4 linked regions of the Arabidopsis thaliana genome follow. The protein of the gene in region 2 interacts with the protein of the main gene of each other region in a pairwise test. Each region holds a gene or a part of one and is shown on either strand. Other genes may lie near its edges.

Region 1 (4,520 bases), on a different chromosome or scaffold from region 2:
AGAGTTGTGTCTCTTCACTTGGCATATTTATAGGCGTAATTAACTAAACCACATACATATGTTATTTTGTTATATTTTGTTCTACTTAGATTTATTTCTTTTCTATATGTCAAAATATTGATTAAATCTTAGACCTCAATTGTTATCAAAATTTAATATACAGTGCTGGTATAGTATTTTCCTATTGATCTAAAAGTATTTTAAAAGAAAAATAAATAAGATAGTCAAATATAGGGACCCTTAAGTATATGTCAAGTTTTTAATTTTCTAAGCAAGATTAATCACCATAAATTCTTAGTTTTAGTAATCATATTAAATAAAAAGTATATTAAGTGATTCTTAATTGCAAGCAATAAATTGCTAAAGCAAAACATACAATGAAAAACATAGAAAAAATAACAACAGATAAATCAAAGCATGGAGAACTAAGAGCGTCAAGTGCGTCAGCCATTCTCAGTGCAAACCCTATATGGTTTGGGGAAAATTTGAGAAACAAATTGGGGTTTTTTTGCCCTAGTAACTGATTTGTGGTTTCTTTCTTTTAATAACTTTAATTACGATTTGTTTTTAAAATTTATTACAAACGATAAACAGCTTGATAGCTCTTTCGATATGGTTATGGCCTTATGGGTAGAACCGGGGTAACTAGATATGGAAAATATGGAGAAATCTTTAGATTTTTACTGCCAAAGGGTTGTCTGATTAAAATGAATCCGGGAATCCGTTTTTACATTCCTAAAATGATGAGAAGAATACCAAATCGAATTTCCGACAGAACCAACGCAGCACTAAGGTGACAAAACGAGATATATAACTTACTCCCTTTCAGCTTCCATGGGCACACCACACTCTGCAAGTTTTGATGATTGGTTGGGTTGATTCAGGAGGAAGTACATTGTCGTCGCTGGTTGGTTTCTCAGGGGATCTCCTCTCTGGTAAGTCGCACTGGTTTGTTTTGTAGATACACAATCTCTCTGTCTGCTACATTTATGAGATGCTGCTCTGATCCTTCTTCATCTGACACAGAAGATGCCTCTGAGTTTGATTCATCCTCATCTACATAAGGAAAATACGAAGCCATTCATGATTTGTTTTGATCACAAAGGAGTTGGGGTTTTTTTGGTTATAACATTCTCTTAGTTAGGAGCTTACCGGAGAATTCAAGGCGTTCGGGAAGAGCACTAACAGCTGTAAGCTGAATGCTTTCTGGCAGAAGACAATTACAGAAGGAACCTGAAACTCAAACAGACCATGAGTAAATATTTAGGACACAATTTGTTTGTAACTTAACACAGAGAAAGGTTTATTATATCTTTTACCTACTCGGGCCAGCCGATTAATCCATCCTGGAATAGGCTTTCCTGTTAGCTGCAAGCATACTTCTTCAGTGAAATGGTTACAGTTCTTGGCAATCAAATGGTAAGTGTCACCATGGTACTTTCTTGAAAGCTTCTCCATGTATGAGCGGAAATCTGAACGGGACATGCTGGTAGTTCCCAGTAAAACCGACCGTCTAAAGATGAACCCTGGACAGTTCCTAGGTTCCACCTCATATACCCCACTTGTTGGATACTCGTGAGCTCCATAGCAATATTCCAAATTATGAGCTACATTGAAGTTGAACAACTGTGTCAAAGAGAGCAATGAATAATAACTAAAATAACAGGTAAAATCTAAGTTATTAAAGGATCATAGAAAGTTTCCACTAAATAATCCTCAGCGTTTAACACTTTTCTTGGTCCTACATCTATATCCACAAACAATCCCCTTCTCAAAAGAGCCTAGTATTGCCACCAAATCATTAAGACAGCTATTTTTCTATATCCAGAAACAATCCCCTTCTCAAAAGCATACTAAGTAGACAATGTTCTCTTGAGTTTACAGATATACAGACTCATAGAAAGGTTTCTCCTTTCGTGATCTCAATCAAGAATCTTAAAGAGAAAGAGAAGAAACATACCCTCAATACCAGAATGGAAAATGCCAATCCCAAACCAATAAAGGTAATTGTTGACAGGCGTTAGATCATAGACATTGAGATAAACCGGCGTAAGCGCGGCTTCTCCACTGCTCTCATCCCTCTCATCACTTGAACATGAGCTTGAGCTCAATGTAGGCACCCACATTTTACACACAATATCCCAATTCAAAGTCACGATCGAACCATTCCTTTCTTCCTAAACCTCTGCAACACTAAAAAAAAAAAAAACTGATGGTCATATTCATCATATAAACACCAAAAGTAACAATCAAATGTTCCATAACTTAGATCAAAATAATTGGAATTCAAGCAATTCGAACATAAACAATCAAACATGTATACAACTTCTTCTTTGGCGACTAACGAGAACAGATCCAAGGATTCGATTCACACAGTAGCAATTACACATACAATCAAAAATCTAATCCTCTAAAAGAAAAATCTATCCAATCGCTCGAATTTCAAATCAGGAAAGCCACGAAACATAATTGAAATTGGGCGCGTGCGTTTTCATGTACAACAATCGAGCAAGAGAGATCGAGAGAGACGAGGAAGACGAAGGAAACGGAGCTTACATGAGAGTCGAGCAGAATGGGATTGGTTGGGAGAGAGACTGCAAAAATGATCGAGAAAAGTTTATACACGGAGTTTTTTTCTTTGAAGATTTGCTTTTTTTTTTTGGTTAAAACTTAAGCATATAAGTAATGAACAAAACAAATAAAAGTCAAAGCTAAATATTAGTTGGCAAAAAAAAAATCATATATGTATTTACATATTTAACACGTATGTACTAATATAATTTTCATTGATTATTACACTTCAATATTCAATTTACCCCCCTTTACTTTAAAAAAATATATTCAATATACTTTCTCTCAAATTTTTTGTTAGTTGATTTGTTCATTTTAATTTTTTTATATATACTGAATAATAAAATTTATTTGAAGCCTCGTATTTGGTTTCACTGAAAGAAGCGATACCATTTGAGAATTATGGTGTTCACATCCGTAAATATAGATATGATTCGGATTTCTAAAAAGATAAACAAAGAACCAAAATTCAGTTTTACACACAAGAGATTATTAAAGTTATCTAAATAATCTATTAGCTGTATTAATGACTTAACGTAAGCAGTGGTATATAGGGAAAAGTTGATTTGTGGTATAAAAGTCTAAGATTGGATGAGAGAAACTCTTAAGGATCGACGTATAGGCGATGGTATAAAAATCAAAATGGAAAGCTTTTACCATGCAAAAAGAACCATAGCATTTTTGTTTTAAAGAAAGAAAAAAAAAAGAAGGAAAAGAGTCATAGATATTACCATGCAAAAATATGGAAATTGTAATATATATACGTGATTCCCATATTATAAGATTAGAGCTTTTTCCGCCAAACTAATTTATTAATTGTAATTATTGATTACAAATTTATAGATATTTCAAAAATGAAGTCACAAATGAGAAATGAATCAAATGAAACAATCTATAGAAAACAAGATATTATAAAAGTCAATTAGTCAGAGTTTATACATGCAAAAAAAAAAGAGTCATGGAGCTTTCAAATATTAAGTCACAAATAGGATATAATCGAGACTGCTAAAGATGTTACGGTAATAAATCCGAGCATATTACATGCCATTGAAAAATAATACGTTCTATGATAAAAAGTCATTTGATCGGAGCTTCGTGTTATGTGTTCTCTGTTCTTTCCATATTGATTCGCCTTTACATGCGATTTTTGTCTCAGTAGCCGCTAAATAAGGTGATTGGTTAGAATTTAGAAATATCAAGAGTTGTATTAAAAAACAAATAAACGAATGAATAAATTTTGCTCGAATGTGAACATAAAATAAGCAAAAGATATAGCATAATTCCACGTCAGCATACAACAAGCTGACCCAAACAGAAAAATAGAATTCAAACAACGGTCAATTGTGGATAACCAAACGGTGGGTGTGGAGATAACGGCGATAAAAGCGGCATGCTCAGAAACTCCGTCAAATCCCAGTCATCTATCGCCGTCAAACCTGACTCAACATTCTCGCCGCCGCTAACGTCGTAACTCTCCTCCGTCTTTAGCACTTTCTCAACCACCGTCACTTCCTCCTCCTCGCCGTCTCTCTTCCGTTTGTTGTACAGGCCACGACCATCTTCAGCGCGTGGATTCCACTTGTCAACTTCAAGCGGGAAATTCAGAATCGCCTTTGATCCTCGTAGTCTAAACGCTTCTTTGTCGTAAGCTCTAGCCGCTTCGATCGCCGTCTCAAACGTCCCGAGCCAAACACGAGTTCCACGACGAGTCGGGTCTCGAATCTCCGCCGCGAATTTCCCCCACGGCCTCATCCTCACTCCTCTGTAATGCCTCTTCTCCTCTGCTGCTACAACCGGTACGGGAAGTTCCGGTTTAGGATTTCCGGTTGCGAATTGAATCCACTTGGTTCGGTTCGGTGGTGCGATCTTCAACGGCGGTTTTCGATTGGATTGAACAGTAACGCGAGGAGGATTCGATTGGAACGTGAAGGAATCGTTCGATTCAGATG
Region 2 (5,005 bases):
AACAATAATCCCTTGTCTATATGGTGGTATTTCTGCTAAAAGTGACTTATGGGTAGATTTTTTAGCTTCATAGATTCTTTGTCGAAAAAAAATTACTTTGTACATTTTAGTGGAGTTATTTAAATTTCCCAATTGAACAAAACCATATATTGATGAAATTCGCAAATGCAATCCAAAAATAAATATGTTCCACTCTTTTGGTTAGCTTTTAACTAAAGATGCGTTTTACTTTATGTAAGTGGTTGATCTTTTGGCAATGGGGGACAATGACTATACAATCTAAGAGATCATTTTAACGAATATCATTCATATTTCATCCTCTTCTTCAAATTTCAGTTTCACTAATTAACCACGTTTCAATTGTAGTGTATCGCGAGCTGTAAATATTATCTAATTTATGTTACATAATCATAACTGTAATCTTTATTAGACAAAAACATATATACCTCACTGCAAACACCTTCAAACATGGATAACTTGATTTAGGCATACAAATATTATTTCTCATTTATTTGATATGACCTATATTATGTGGCTATTTTATCAGTTTTAGTGTTTTTTATGATAATTGAACCACTTAAATGTTTATCTCATTTTTCAATTTATTTTAAACTGAATTAAAAAGTAAGAAAGTATGATCCAATAAGGCATCGACACATGGAAACCCATTTTAAGGTAGAAGATGCTTTTCTGCGGCTTCTGAAAACAACTAGAAAATGATATGATACGTTGCTTTCATTTATTGTAAGTATTATTTAGTTTTAATTCACGCGCTTCATATCCAGCTGCAAGACTACTACAACTTGCAATTATGAGACTCTCGTTAGAAAATTACCAGGTATAATTTAAAAACAAAAAGAACTAGAATATATTGGCAATTATTTGAAGTAAGAAAATATGAGATTCTTGACCGAGTTGTTAAACTATCAAACCCAAAAGTTTTGGTTAAAAAATAAGCTAGTACTATGTACATATGTTTTATGTTGAAAATATATTAAACTGTATGTAAGAGGGAGTGTACTTTCATTTTAGATATACATTTCCAGCTAGTACGAGGTCTCTATATATAAACTTTCTTAATATCGCTAAACAAATTTTACTTTCAAGTTTGTAATGTGATAAGTGAAAGACCGTATATACATACACATGTTAATCAACTGATAACCTTTGTGCCTCGTGTGTCTAGTTACTAGTCAACCATCAAACGTGCATGATGCTGTTTTTCTTAGAGTACTATTGTTGTGTTATATATAACTAAACATAAACAATTTGCTATTATGATATAAACATAGAATTTTCAAGCAATGATATGTTTAGATGTTTTGTATAAATATTCCATAAATAGTAGACACCCATATATACACAAACATGAATTCTACCTGAGGAGAAACACATAGATGTTCAAATTAAATAATAACCCTATAATGAAAACTCTAAAGTAAGTAATACGAAATAAAAATTTATCCTTTAAATAACATATAAACATATATATACAAGTTTAATTGGTAATTGTATCACAAGAGCCAATTATTTGGTGACTGTATCACACGTGCTTAAAGAGAGCGTGGGAATGAAAGTAAAGAAGAATAAAGAAGCAGAGAGATGGGCTAGAAATGAGAAAACACACCAAACCCTAACCTCACCCTCACACATTTCTTATCTTTTGCTCTCAATAGATTCCATTGATTCAAAACAAAATTTTCATTAAGATTTCACAACCTCCACACACTTCCAAACACAATTAAAGAGAGGAAAAAGAATCAATAACCCTATAAATAAAAAATCAGACAAACAGAAGTTTCCTCTTCTTCTTCCTTAAGCTAGTACCTTTTGTTCTTGAAATTAGGGTTAATTTCTTTTTTCCAAATACCATCAATTCTCCAGACCATAAAAACTCAAAAAGATCAGATCTTTCCTCTGAAAAAGAGATACCCAACTTATGTTTTTGTGTGTCTGTATATAGATAAACATTACATACCCATATTTGTGTATAGACATAAAAAGTGGAAATTAAGGTAACAAAAAGAAATGGGAAGAGGAAGAGTAGAGCTGAAGAGGATAGAGAACAAAATCAACAGACAAGTAACGTTTGCAAAGCGTAGGAACGGTTTGTTGAAGAAAGCTTATGAATTGTCTGTTCTCTGTGATGCTGAAGTTGCTCTCATCATCTTCTCCAACCGTGGAAAGCTCTATGAGTTTTGCAGCTCCTCAAAGTAAACAACTCTCTCACTCTTTATCAGTTTCTTGATTGAGTTTTTGCTAGATCTGAGCTTAGATCTTTGTCTCAAGGACTTGTTATATATAGATCACACGATCTTGATTTCTACGAAGTTGAGTTAATTAGATTTCTTGATTTCATTTTCTAGGGTTTTTTTCCAATTCTTGAAATTTAAGATCTGGTTTTTTTGTTGTCAATGATTTAGAACTGTGAATTTTGTAATCGAATAGATTCCAAATCCTGATATGCAATCTGAAAAGTTTTATATAATTAATATATGTCTGTGTGATTGGAAACTTAAAAGTTGTTCACAGATTTCTATGAAAATTACAAGTATCCAACGTAGAATGATAATATATGGTTACATGCATTAACCATTTGTTAGTTCATCATACTTTATGGTGGTTAAAACTTCAAACGCGTGTATATCTGTGAAGGCTTTGATTGTTTGTTTTTTCTTAAAAACAATGTTTAATAGATTTTTAATTATATGTTAAAATAGTTTTGCTTACATGCATTCAAGAAAATATAGCGATTAATTCCTTTTTTCAAATCACAATTTGTGAATCAAACGAAAACGTAAGATATTGCTTGCAAATGATAGGATTGAACTATTGATATTTGTAAATATAAATACGAAACTTTACGTTTGAAAGTTGAAACAATCAAATCCAAATCAACTCGTATATAATCAGATAAATAATGGAAACAATCTTCAATTTTGATGGAAGAATACTTTAAAACTTGAAGAGCTTTTTTTTTATGGTGATTTATAGGTTTAGATCTCCAAAGTCAAGTATGATCTTTTTAATAAACTCTTATTCTCTCTTTTTGAGTTATTTTCAGCATGCTCAAGACACTTGATCGGTACCAGAAATGCAGCTATGGATCCATTGAAGTCAACAACAAACCTGCCAAAGAACTTGAGGTGTTCTTAATTCAAATACTATTTTAGATTCCTATCATATCATTTCAAGAAAGATCTTTTTTAAAAGTTTGTTTTCGTGAAATATTTCAGAACAGCTACAGAGAATATCTGAAGCTTAAGGGTAGATATGAGAACCTTCAACGTCAACAGAGGTACATATCTGTCTACCTCCGTATATTTACTCAATTCTGTATCCATGTAGATTCATATTTGTAGGTGTGTGTGGCTTTTGTTGGTGCAGAAATCTTCTTGGGGAGGATTTAGGACCTTTGAATTCAAAGGAGTTAGAGCAGCTTGAGCGTCAACTGGACGGCTCTCTCAAGCAAGTTCGGTCCATCAAGGTATCTTTATACATGGAATCAATGATTCAAATGAGATTAATTTGTGTTGTTTAATTATAACTACTATGGTGGTATGATGATTGTTTGCAGACACAGTACATGCTTGACCAGCTCTCGGATCTTCAAAATAAAGAGCAAATGTTGCTTGAAACCAATAGAGCTTTGGCAATGAAGGTATAATTACAGAATAAATGCATTTGGTGCCTTGCGATCAATCTCTTTCACAGAGTTTAAGTTTCTAAACATTTTTGGAAACATCTCTAGTTTTCTTGTTTCTGATTATAGTCTTTTGGTGAAATGTAAATGTTTAGCTGGATGATATGATTGGTGTGAGAAGTCATCATATGGGAGGAGGAGGAGGATGGGAAGGTGGTGAACAGAATGTTACCTACGCGCATCATCAAGCTCAGTCTCAGGGACTATACCAGCCTCTTGAATGCAATCCAACTCTGCAAATGGGGTAAATCCTTTGCCTTAAACAATCATCTGCAAATCAGCTTGTGTACTTCACTACTAAGATTGTACTTATATAAGGTTCTTTAGTTACTTGGTGTAAAGAGGATCATCAATGTGTGTGAACCTTTTAAGTTGCTGTTTTGGTGATGATGATGATGATGACAGGTATGATAATCCGGTATGCTCAGAGCAAATAACTGCGACAACCCAAGCTCAGGCGCAGCAGGGAAACGGTTACATCCCGGGGTGGATGCTCTGAGAGTCATGTGCTGTGTTAAAGCTCACCAACAAAAGATCTTTTATATATATAAAAGTATAGACACAAGACTTTGGATTTGTAGACATAAGTGGCTATATATAATGGTCCTGAGGATCTTCAAGACATTTGTATCTTTTGGGAATCCTTGCTTATATTAAGAATTCAAATGTGTGGAACTTGTTTTAACACTGAACCATGACACTGGTTTATTATCATGTAATGAGAAACATTTGGGTTACAATGTGATCTCTCCTTGACCCAAATACCCAATGTAAACTATATGCCAAAATACAAGCATCACATATATATTCATAAATTCATAAAAGGTTAAAAGTAATCATACAAAATGATGTAAAAAGTTTCATGCCTTGAACAAAACACTGCGCCAAAGGCAAATCCTAAGAAACATGTCAGATTCCTGTGTGCATCTGTTCTGCTGCTGCTGTTGTTTTCTCTCAAGAGGGTTTCCTCAGAACTCCATAAGCCAAACGTGCAGAGAGACGTTTCCTCATTTCCCCATCATATACAATATCATATATTGTTAAAAAATATATTCACATCTCTCTGCTGCCTTGTCAATCTCCCCAGGTCCGGTCTAGGCAGTACAAGACAGGATCAATGGCAACAAGTTACGGTGTTTCGTGGAACTCCATCACCTGCAAATGAGACGAATTCACAGCAGAGAAAAAAATATTCTTTAGTCAACATGAATGAGAAATAATTCAAATGTTCTGAGTTTCAGGAAGAATGATTAGCCATATTTGTCATAGACAAGACAAGTAAAGATTTTACGCATGTGCTTC
Region 3 (5,347 bases), on a different chromosome or scaffold from region 2:
AGTGACGATCAGGTATCGGAGATGGTTGAGGTTCTCACGGCGACGTCTAGTTCTTGCTCTTCGGGAATCTCGGGATATGGATCAGCAAAGTCGTTGCGAGATATGGATTGTCTTGATGAAGATGATGATGATGATGAAAATTATGGTAATGATGATGGAGGTGATGAGATGATTGATGCGAAAGCTGAGGAGTTTATTGTGAGATTTTATGAACAGATGAGGATGCAAAATCAGGCTTATACAGAACGTTACAAAGCTAAAGAGATGATGATGGTCTAAATCGCACATTGTAATTCTATTCACTGAAGCATAATGTCATATTACATGAGTATACATATATGCATGGAGACGTGCACAGAGTTTGTCTTTGATTATTTCGATGATTTTTTTTTTTCGTCTATTATTTCGATGATTTAAGTAATGATATATATATTGTATTCAGTTAGTCTTGATTGTATACTTTTATAGTAGACGATGAATTTGTACGCAAACTATATTAAAATATATTTATAAAACTGATGTCATTTTGGTTTACTATATATCATCTTCAAGTCATAATGCTAGAACCAAATTGCAGCTAGCTTCTTGTGAGTGATATAGTAGATGATGAATTTGTACGCAAATTATATACATGACTCTGAGCTTCTTTGGCAGTTTTCCTAGGGTGTCATATACATGACTCTGAGCTACAAGCCTTTGTTGTTGTCATATTTCAAGCAATTCGTTTTTTTCTTTTTTTTCTTTTGAACCAAAAACCCAATAATGAGTTAAGTAGAAGTTTATAATTCACTTATGGGTACAATCCAATATAATTTAGAATTTTCCTATTGGTTTGAGAATCCAATTTGCTTGAAGAGAAAATCAGAGACATGGAAGCTAAAGAAGAGAGATTAGAAGTTTATGATGTGGAGAGTAAATTGAATCGGTTGCAATTCGGTTTATTATACTAGATTTTTGGTTTGGCATTAGGTTTATGACGTTAACCTAATAATAAACTACAAAATTTGGTTTTGTGGAGACTAAATTCTCTAACTTTCGATTTAGGAGGATATAATAATTTACCTTCTATTTTGTGTTGACTGTAAACGAAGTTCTAAATCTGTGTAGTTGTGGTACTATGTGAAACTGCGTAGGGGAATAGAGGTCGTTCACTCAAGTTTATAAGATGGCACAAATAGAAAGAAATCAATTTAGTTGTTCTCTCATTTGAAAGGAATTCAAGCAATATGGTTGTTCTCGTCTTTCCAAGATGCATTGAATAGTAAAGCATCTAATTAGTAAAGTTCTCATAATGCTCAGTTGCTCACATTGATCTTTTTACCCCTTTTAATTAGAGTACAGTCTTGTAAATTACGTTGTTTTAGCCAAGTTTGGCCTATGTAATAATTTATTTGGGCTTTAAAAAGCCTCTTCAAATTAGAGTATTGCTGCTGCAGAAAAAGAAAAGAATATTTGCGTGGAGAAAATAAAGGAAAACAAATCCATAATTAGTAGTCGGTGTATACATACCTAAAAAGGCAGAGAGACGTTAAGATTCAAATTTCAAAAAAGAAAAAAAATATGAGTGGCAGGTTCGTTATTAATGATAAAACTTAGGGGCAATATTGGATTAACAACAAGTCTCCTGAATCGTGGCCTCCTAAGTACACGCTCTTGTATAAATACACTCGCATCAAACTCCAAAACCCTTATCACTCTCTCATTAATCGAACTTGGCGTGTTTAAATAATCTTCCGATCGTTAATTCTCTTCCGATTTCGATTCGATTTTAGCGGCGATGTCTCTCAGACCTAGCGCGAAGACGGAGGTGCGACGGAATCGGTACAAAGTAGCGGTCGATGCGGAGGAAGGACGGCGGAGGCGAGAGGATAACTTGGTTGAGATCAGGAAGAACAAGAGAGAGGAAAATTTGCAGAAGAAGAGATTTACGTCTTCTATGGCTTTTGGCTCAGCAACGGGACAAACGGAACAGGATCTTTCTTCAGCGAACCAAGTATGTGATTCTTTCTTTTGTTTACGATTCCACCTTTAGTTTTTTCTGATTTTATGTTCCGATTTGATCAATTAGATCGTCTCTGTTTCATATGAATTTCTAATTGGAGATCGATTTGTTCTAGATTTGAAGTTCTTGCGATGTTTCTTTGTTTTTGGTCATAGATTTTGTATTTGATTGCAAAAACTTGCGATGTGTATGTGTTGTTTGGTGAGAGTATTTGTTACTAATGTCTGTTTAATTGACTGGGAATTTGAGCGGTGTTGAATTTGACATGTAAAGAGAATTAGGGTTGATATCTCAACGGAGATCATCAAATTTACTTTAGCTAGAGGAGATTTTTGACTATGATAGTGTCTCTTCGTGTTACAGTTAAAAGATAATCTACCTGCTATGGTTGCTGGAATCTGGTCAGAGGATAGCAATTCACAATTGGAGGCAACAAATCTCTTGCGGAAACTGCTTTCTATTGGTTTGTGATTTATGTTATTGATCGTTACTAGTAGTACATAACAATCAGTGTTTTGGTTAGAGTCTTTAGCAGTTGTTTTTTCTTTTGTAGAACAAAATCCTCCTATCAATGAAGTTGTACAATCTGGTGTTGTTCCTCGTGTTGTGAAGTTTCTTTCCAGGGATGACTTCCCCAAACTTCAGGTGAGTCGCAGCTGCAGTCGTTTTTTTTTGGATATATTGATAGTTACTAGTTTGATGTATTTGTTAACTTGCTTTTGCTGTTTACTTCTGCAATGTGTTTTAGTTTGAGGCAGCTTGGGCGCTCACCAACATTGCTTCAGGGACATCAGAGAACACAAATGTCATCATTGAAAGTGGAGCTGTCCCGATATTCATCCAACTTCTCAGCTCTGCTAGTGAAGATGTCCGCGAACAGGTATATGTTTAAATCCTCACTGTTATCGTTATTGTCACAGAAGAAACACTTAGACATTAGGATCAAGTGGAAATTCATTGAGACTGTTACCATTCTGAGTTCTGGTCTTTCCCTGACTGAGTATAGGCTGTTTGGGCATTGGGAAATGTTGCTGGAGACTCACCAAAATGCCGGGATTTAGTCCTAAGTTACGGTGCCATGACACCTCTTCTGTCTCAATTCAATGAGAATACAAAGCTTTCAATGCTGAGAAATGCTACATGGACATTATCAAACTTCTGCAGAGGGAAGCCCCCACCCGCATTTGAACAGGTTTCCTTAAATATACACACTTTATTGAATCTCCACAATATTTTTTAACATGCTTCTGATATTTTGTTACTTAAAACATTTTTCGAGCAGACACAACCAGCTTTACCAGTTCTTGAGCGCCTTGTGCAATCAATGGATGAAGAAGTTCTCACAGATGCATGCTGGGCTCTGTCATACCTCTCGGATAATTCAAACGACAAAATACAAGCAGTCATTGAAGCAGGAGTTGTTCCTCGCCTCATCCAGCTCTTAGGGTAAGCATCTGATAGTGATCATTTTAATTTTTATTGCCAGGCATGATTATGTTATCTGATTTATGTGCTTCCTCTTTCTCCGTATAGTCATTCGTCGCCATCAGTGCTGATTCCTGCTCTTCGTACCATTGGAAATATTGTAACCGGGGATGATCTACAGACTCAGGTGCATATAATACATTCACCATTCGATTTCGAGTTTTCAGAAGCAAATGTCTCTAACTTATTTTCCTAACACAGATGGTTCTCGACCAGCAAGCGCTTCCTTGTCTTTTGAACCTTCTAAAAAACAATTACAAGAAGAGTATCAAGAAGGAAGCTTGCTGGACTATCTCCAACATTACAGCTGGAAATGCAGATCAGATACAAGTGAGTTTTGTTTATAATATATGGCATTTAACAAGAAAGTCGAAAATTGAAGTTTCCTGTGTCTGATTTTATTCGAACCCGTATGTGCAGGCAGTGATTGATGCAGGTATAATCCAGTCTCTTGTTTGGGTGCTTCAAAGTGCAGAGTTCGAAGTAAAAAAAGAAGCTGCTTGGGGAATATCAAATGCTACTTCTGGTGGCACTCATGATCAAATCAAGTAAAACCATAAAAACCGAAACGAAATGTTTCCTTAACAAAGAATGGTCATTTCTAAAACACGTCTGTGTTTATTGTTTGTTTCTTCTCAGGTTTATGGTGAGCCAAGGCTGTATCAAACCTCTATGCGATCTCCTTACTTGCCCAGATCTGAAAGTTGTAACGGTTTGCTTAGAAGCACTAGAGAACATTCTCGTGGTTGGAGAAGCAGAGAAGAACTTAGGTCACACAGGAGAAGACAACCTCTACGCTCAAATGATTGACGAAGCAGAAGGGTTAGAGAAGATTGAGAATCTTCAGAGTCACGACAACAATGATATCTACGACAAAGCCGTGAAGATCCTCGAAACATTTTGGACTGAAGACAATGAAGAAGAAGGCAACGACGAGAATCATGCTCCACAATCTGGTTTCCAGTTCGGAAGCACCAATGTTCCTCCTGGTCAATTCAACTTTATTTGAAAGGTAAAATAGTTGAATTGGGTCATAGAAGTTGCTTGGACTTTTAAGTAAGCCACATATCGAACGAAAGTGGTAACATCACAAAGATGAAATATCAATCTTCTCTATCTCTTCATGCCCACTCCTTAACTCGTGGACATGAACTATGAAGAAACATAGTACGATTTTCTTTTCTTTTTGGAAGTTTGTCTCAATAACTAAATCATTTGGGGAAGAGAAACAATTATTCTGTGTTAGCCATCATCTCGTCTTTCAACAAAGTTCCCTTTTTTCATATATTAGTGCCATTACAAAATCGTAGTTATGCCTTAACTAAACCAGAAACATTTTTATTCAATAGTTAATCATTTTTACTCGCAATTTTAGAAAACAGAGAAGCTAGAAATAGTAATATACGCTTGTGGAGGTTTGAGGCAACGGTCAAAACTTCAAGAGCAATATACGCATGTGGAGTTTTTATTGGGTACTTTGGTGTCTAATTACAAATAGGAGAGATTAGTGGTGATTAAGTGGTTATTATCATGGTCATAATTTCTATATGCGAGAAATTAGGGTTTAGGCTATGTGACTAATTCGTGTATTTAAAACACTCTCATTGTTTTATATCCAACAGACAACAAGAACAACAACATAGCCAGATATAATGCTGTCTTCACCAGCTTTTGCTGCAGCACGTTCTACTCTCGGTCGTCGTCTTCATGCGAAGAGACTATCTTCTTCTACTGGTCGAACCGCTGATCCAGAGATTCATGCCCGTAACGATGGAGACGAGCCTAGTCTTTTTCCATCAGACCCCGAGGTATATTTTGACTTTGTTGTTTATATATGTCAAGCTTAGCTGTCACAAGTCA
Region 4 (5,244 bases), on a different chromosome or scaffold from region 2:
GAAGAAACAGAAAACAAAATCCATAAAGATCATCTTTTTCAATACCTACCGACAAAAATCTAATCAGCAATCAAAAACATCAACCGTTGGACGAAATTACGGAGACACAAAGGTCAACAAGTTCACAAAACACAAACCCGTAATAACGAAACACGAACAAGTGATGGAAAATATCGCAGGAACTAACACAGAATCGGAGAACAGTGGAATCGTCGTGAGAGAGAAGAAGAAGAAGAAGAGAGATTCTTACCAGGGAGGAAAAGGATTGGATTTGAAAATCCAGATGAATAATTGATTAAGCGTAAAGATTCGAAATCAGTAGCAGAGAAACCAAAAAAATTATCTTCAAAATTTGAGTTTGAGGCAAAGCAACGCTAACCCTAAAAGAAAAAGAAAAAAACCTTTTTTGGCCGAATCAAAATTGTACCACATACTTTCTACGAAAACTAGTCAACGGCTCTGATTTTTTCTCATGTGACGAAATCTCCTAGTCACACATTTCCGAACCGCCTTTTACGACTAAACCGGACTATCATAATATTTTGGGCCTAATTTGAGCTTTATTAATAAATGGGCCTTACTTTGGTTATTTTGTAATCACTGGGATTTACATACTCAATTCGGTCAAACCGGTAACGGTTTAGGAGCAAATTTAAACAAAAAAAGGCTCATTACTGGCTCACTGTATCTCTTTGGGGACCGTTTAGTTACCAAAATGAAGAGAGCTCTAACTTTTACCAATTACACGATGCAACATTTTCACATCCTAAACCGGTTTCATCATATATCTATACAAACCGGAATTTCCTAATCTTCCTTTGTACCTTTCTTTACTTAATCCATTGACGAGCTAGATTCGTCAGTCTCATCGTCCCCGCTTAAACTAGAAGGCAGTTCCACACCAGACCTACAAACATAACAGTATGATCCAATAAGCCGATTTGATATCTCTTTGGGACAATAAATGCATTACACAATGGTTGGTTACTAACCGATTTATCTGGCTTTTTCGTTCAAGAATCTCGCTGTATGATGATGATTTTGGTGCATATACTTGCTGAATATACCCATGTTTCACTCGTTTGGCAACCTATTAACATTCGTTAAAGGTCAGAACACGAACTTGATAGAGCCTCTAAACTTTGTTAAAATATACATCAATATCTATATTTTTAAGATAGTTAACCATCAAACTCACCGGTGGTTCATCAGTCGAATGCAATTTCTCTCTCTGCATTTTCATTTGATTCCTCTCCCCGTGATATATTCCTGCCTTTAAAAGAAGATATCACACAAAACACAAGTCATATTTCCATAAAAGGGCAAGAAAGGAACATGTAGACATGGAAGTATTAGACAAATCTTTACCATCCCAGAAGATGGACCTCTATCCATTGACTCAGGGGATCTGCTTCTACTCGGAGGTAACAGCTTCGAAGATTTAGTGAGATATCCCGTCTTGCGTCCGCCATTAGATATATTATTATCATAATCATGAGACTGATTGGTTTCAATATTGCTTCCAGAAAGATTTTGGACGTTGGCAACCAGATGGTTTCTCGACCCTTCAGCCCAACTTTTGGAACTTATCCAACCCTTCTTGCTGTTAGTTACAGGGATTTCCCGTGGTGAACCTTTGAATGTCTCTTTAAACGATTTGTGGCGAGGTACAGAATTATAGAAACTGGTAGAAGGGGATTTCAGTCTTGGTTCCCCAAAACTTTTCTTATCTCTTAGACCAGGCTCCATTCCAACCATTATGTTGTCATCATCATCATGCTCATCATCCTCTGAATCTGGATCTGGCGAATGCAACTTTGATTTACGAGCTAATTCATAGCTCTATAAAGACATTAAGACAGAAAACGAAAATATTAATAATACTTCAAAGAAAGTAAGATAATTTAGCCAAAGAATGTGATGGCAGACTAAGATTCTAGTTTATATTATCTTCATGGGTATGTAGTATACAGAAAATGTTCACTTACAGGACCAGGATTAAAGCTCTTCCTCGTTCCAAGTAAATGTGGAAGGTGAGGCCGTCTCTGATTCCCAACATATATTGGCTCTGACAAAACAGTTGATAGAAAAAGCAATCAAATCCGACTGGACATGGGTAAAGGCATTCACAATCTGACACACGAAGAAGATGGTTTTAGCTTCTCTGAGCCACTTACTCAATACTCATAACATCATAAACCAGAAAATTAAAGGTAAAGTTGAAACATTTTATCATGACTCACCGTGAACTATAGGATTAGTCTGAGGCTCAAATGCACCGGGAGGAAGAGGATCAAATTCAACCCCCAGAGGTGGACCATCCTCTTGGTATTGTCTTCCTAATTGTCTCTTTACGGCAGTGATAGCAAAATTCTCACTCTCTCCCTTCACTTTCAAGTATCCCGAAGGCTTATTATACCCATAGCTTCTCATGAACTGAGGATGCTGAATAACGTCTTTATGTGCAACATATCTAGAACTTTCCACATCGCGAATTCCATCTTTGCTAGAGACAAGATTCTTACGTAATGATGAGCTACGATCAGAAGATGTACTATCTTCACCATCAGCATTTCCCATATAAAGCCTTTGACTTTCAACTTCCCTAGGCTTGGGGTTCCAATAATCCGTTTGCTTTGTACTACCACATGAATCCTGTCGAAGCCCACTTCCACGATCCTGAAGAACAACGCTTGACCGATCTTGGCTCCCAATGGCATTCCCATCTTCTTTTACATGACGTTTGTCTTTTAACCTTCTATGGCAGAACCAACCTGAAACTTGCTTCTCAGTTAATCCAACTTCCTCTGCTAACTTGCCCTTCATTTCTTCAGTCGGATACTTATGCTCTGTAGAAAAACCAAATCACACCTGTAAAGCATATACAACTTGGTATAAAGGAACATATGCAAACAACAAAGCCATAATTTACCATTGTAGAAATTCTCAAGCGCCATAACTTGCATAGGAGTCTTAAGCTTCCGTTTTTTGCTGTTTTCTGTAGAAGCTTTATCGCCATCAGCGGTCGCTTCGCCTGAATCTATCGAAAATAGCACATAAAAATCAAAAACATAAGAAGATAATAGTGAAACACGGACACCATTCAATAACCAAGAGATGCAAAGCCCTGACCAAAATCAATTTCATTTTACAATCATGCTTTGTGTATTTAGAAATGTTGCTAGTAATTCCGAAATTCAGGTAAAACATCTACACAAGCTTCACATAAAAGGGTTTAATTTCAGAATTATGGCTCTTTCTCTCATCAGCCAAATACTTCTAAACCCAATCAAAACGAACGAAAACTTTGGAATTCCTTAGCTTGAATAATTAGTAGTACCATAAAACAAACCAAAAAAGGCTTAAAATTTCCAATGCCATTGATGAATTTCGCTAATTAAAACTACAAAAACTGGGAGTTGCATTGTAATTCGACGAACTCGGGATCATTAAAAACTATTCTCTCACGTAAACTCGCAGGAAGACAGAGATTGAAATAGAGGAAAAAACGAATTTCACCTGAGTGCATAGCGAAAATTCCCAGAGATTGAAGGAACAAAACCTAATCAGCTCCCAAAAACCCAGATTTTTTTCTTTCTCCTTCTTCAAAATTCTGGTTTTTTCTTATGAGAGGAGAAGAAAACTCTTCTTCGCACACAAATGACAAATCTCTTGAGAACCATACCGGTTTCAGTAAACCGGAACATGGGAAATACGTGAACCGGGTAAATCTAAATTTGGGCCTTATTGTGGGCCTAAATTGGACAACGAAGGAATAAGAAGAAGAGAGGCGTCGAATGTTTCTTGTGACAGAACCGCCATGGCTACAGCTTCAAGGTTTCTTCTACGGAAATTGCCGAGGTTTCTCAAGCTGTCTCCAACTCTTCTCCGTAGCAATGGCGTAAGAGTTTCAAGCAATCTGATTCAAGATTCCATAGAACCGTTGGATTCCTTCTGGAGAATAGGATCTCGAATCCGCCATGATTCTTTGACTACCAGAAGCTTCTCTTCTCAAGGTCCTGCTTCTGTCGATTACAGGTACTTTAATATTCTCCATTTTGATCTCCTTTATTGTATCTGAATCGTTAATTTCATGAGAATATGAACAAAGTGGAAGAAAAAAACAGTTCGGTTTTGCAGGAGGAAGAGTTTCACAAATTAGCCAACTTCACAATTAATCACCTTCTTGAGAAAATTGAGGTATTTGAAGCTGGAACCTTTTTCTCTCTAGGGTTCTTCGTTTTACTTGAGATTGCAATAGCTTACACTATGTTCTACTTGCATGATTCATGTTCAGGATTATGGTGATAATGTTCAGATTGATGGTTTCGACATAGATTATGGGGTAAGGATTAAACTCTTTTAAGCAATTTAAGATCTTGTTCATATTTCTGGAAATCTATGTGTACTTATTATAGTCAGTCCTTTTGGCTGTTTCCAACAGAATGAAGTTCTTACCCTTAAGCTTGGATCTTTAGGCACTTATGTACTGAATAAGCAAACTCCAAATCGACAAATCTGGATGTCTTCACCTGTGAGGTAAAGATTCTTTCTTGCCTTTTGAAAGTTGCTAACTTTAGGCGCCTAGATTGAATTTCGCATCTGGATTATCATGTTCTGCTCTCTCTTCTGATTTTTGTACTCATGATATTTGGAGAAATGAAACTGTTTATGACTGTATAGTGTTGTTGCTCTTGACTTTGTGCTTCCACATCTTAGATTCACATTAATGTAATCTTCATTCTTCCTTTTGTCTCGGTGCAGTGGCCCTTCTAGATTTGACTGGGACCGTGATGCTAATGCGTGGATATATCGGCGAACTGAAGCAAAGTTGCATAAACTCCTGGAAGAGGAGTTAGAGAATCTATGTGGTGAACCAATCCAACTCTCATAAAGAAGGCTTTAAAACAATATTTGTGAGCGAAAGGGTTTCATCTATGAACTTGAAACTGCTATACCCTGTTAAAGGTATATCTATGAAACATCCAGAGGAATAAACAAACAAGGCAGAAGACAAAGTTGTTTTAGTGTGAAAACTGATTAGTGTTTCTGAATCTATTTTTAAACAGTAATGTCTCATAGTGACATTGTTGCAAGTCTCTTTGTTTAATCAGAGCTGAAGCTGCCTTTTACAGGTTTACGCGTTTTAGATGAAAACATTTCTTTTGAACGACAAAAGTCCTACATTTGTCAAAACTCCTCGAATCTCACAATAATTTCGGAAAAAAGTTGGTTAACAATGTT

What was found.
Region 1: the proteins of SEP1 (region 2) and AT4G17486 interact in a two-hybrid assay, tested with the Arabidopsis thaliana proteins (one large-scale study listed by BioGRID).
Region 3: the proteins of SEP1 (region 2) and MOS6 interact in a two-hybrid assay, tested with the Arabidopsis thaliana proteins (one large-scale study listed by BioGRID).
Region 4: the proteins of SEP1 (region 2) and AT4G03250 interact in a two-hybrid assay, tested with the Arabidopsis thaliana proteins (one large-scale study listed by BioGRID).

Annotation. Positions count from the first base shown.
Region 1 is NC_003075.7:9,749,076-9,753,595, forward strand, and holds AT4G17486 (PPPDE putative thiol peptidase family protein), read right to left. Parts: upstream 2,730-4,520; 5' UTR 2,557-2,729; intron 2,194-2,556; 5' UTR 2,127-2,193; coding exon 1,961-2,126; intron 1,608-1,960; coding exon 1,320-1,607; intron 1,234-1,319; coding exon 1,153-1,233; intron 1,057-1,152; coding exon 917-1,056; 3' UTR 503-916; downstream 1-502. Other genes in the region: ERF6 (ethylene responsive element binding factor 6), read right to left, coding at 3,898-4,520.
Region 2 is NC_003076.8:5,150,791-5,155,795, reverse strand, and holds SEP1 (K-box region and MADS-box transcription factor family protein), read left to right. Parts: upstream 1-1,542; 5' UTR 1,543-2,028; coding exon 2,029-2,213; intron 2,214-3,064; coding exon 3,065-3,146; intron 3,147-3,236; coding exon 3,237-3,298; intron 3,299-3,387; coding exon 3,388-3,487; intron 3,488-3,577; coding exon 3,578-3,661; intron 3,662-3,798; coding exon 3,799-3,947; intron 3,948-4,075; coding exon 4,076-4,202; 3' UTR 4,203-4,462; downstream 4,463-5,005. UniProt on the Arabidopsis thaliana protein: Probable transcription factor. Functions with SEPALLATA2/AGL4 and SEPALLATA3/AGL9 to ensure proper development of petals, stamens and carpels, and to prevent the indeterminate growth of the flower meristem.
Region 3 is NC_003075.7:950,033-955,379, reverse strand, and holds MOS6 (ARM repeat superfamily protein), read left to right. Parts: upstream 1-1,689; 5' UTR 1,690-1,777; coding exon 1,778-1,993; intron 1,994-2,365; coding exon 2,366-2,465; intron 2,466-2,555; coding exon 2,556-2,647; intron 2,648-2,750; coding exon 2,751-2,882; intron 2,883-3,008; coding exon 3,009-3,194; intron 3,195-3,284; coding exon 3,285-3,448; intron 3,449-3,535; coding exon 3,536-3,614; intron 3,615-3,688; coding exon 3,689-3,817; intron 3,818-3,907; coding exon 3,908-4,035; coding exon of another isoform or gene 4,036-4,039; exon of another isoform or gene 4,040-4,126; coding exon 4,127-4,496; 3' UTR 4,497-4,834; downstream 4,835-5,347. Other genes in the region: AT4G02160 (cotton fiber protein), read left to right, coding at 1-279; AT4G02140 (uncharacterized protein), read left to right, coding at 5,140-5,295. UniProt on the Arabidopsis thaliana protein: Binds to conventional NLS motifs and mediates nuclear protein import across the nuclear envelope. Acts as a cellular receptor for the nuclear import of the virD2 protein of Agrobacterium, but is not essential for Agrobacterium-mediated root transformation.
Region 4 is NC_003075.7:1,423,335-1,428,578, reverse strand, and holds AT4G03250 (Homeodomain-like superfamily protein), read right to left. Parts: upstream 3,678-5,244; 5' UTR 3,530-3,677; coding exon 3,520-3,529; intron 3,041-3,519; coding exon 2,933-3,040; intron 2,850-2,932; coding exon 2,244-2,849; intron 2,069-2,243; coding exon 1,989-2,068; intron 1,843-1,988; coding exon 1,369-1,842; intron 1,274-1,368; coding exon 1,199-1,273; intron 1,091-1,198; coding exon 993-1,090; intron 908-992; coding exon 835-907; 3' UTR 517-834; downstream 1-516. Other genes in the region: FH (frataxin-like protein), read left to right, coding at 3,821-4,038, 4,128-4,200, 4,298-4,345, 4,445-4,539, 4,765-4,894.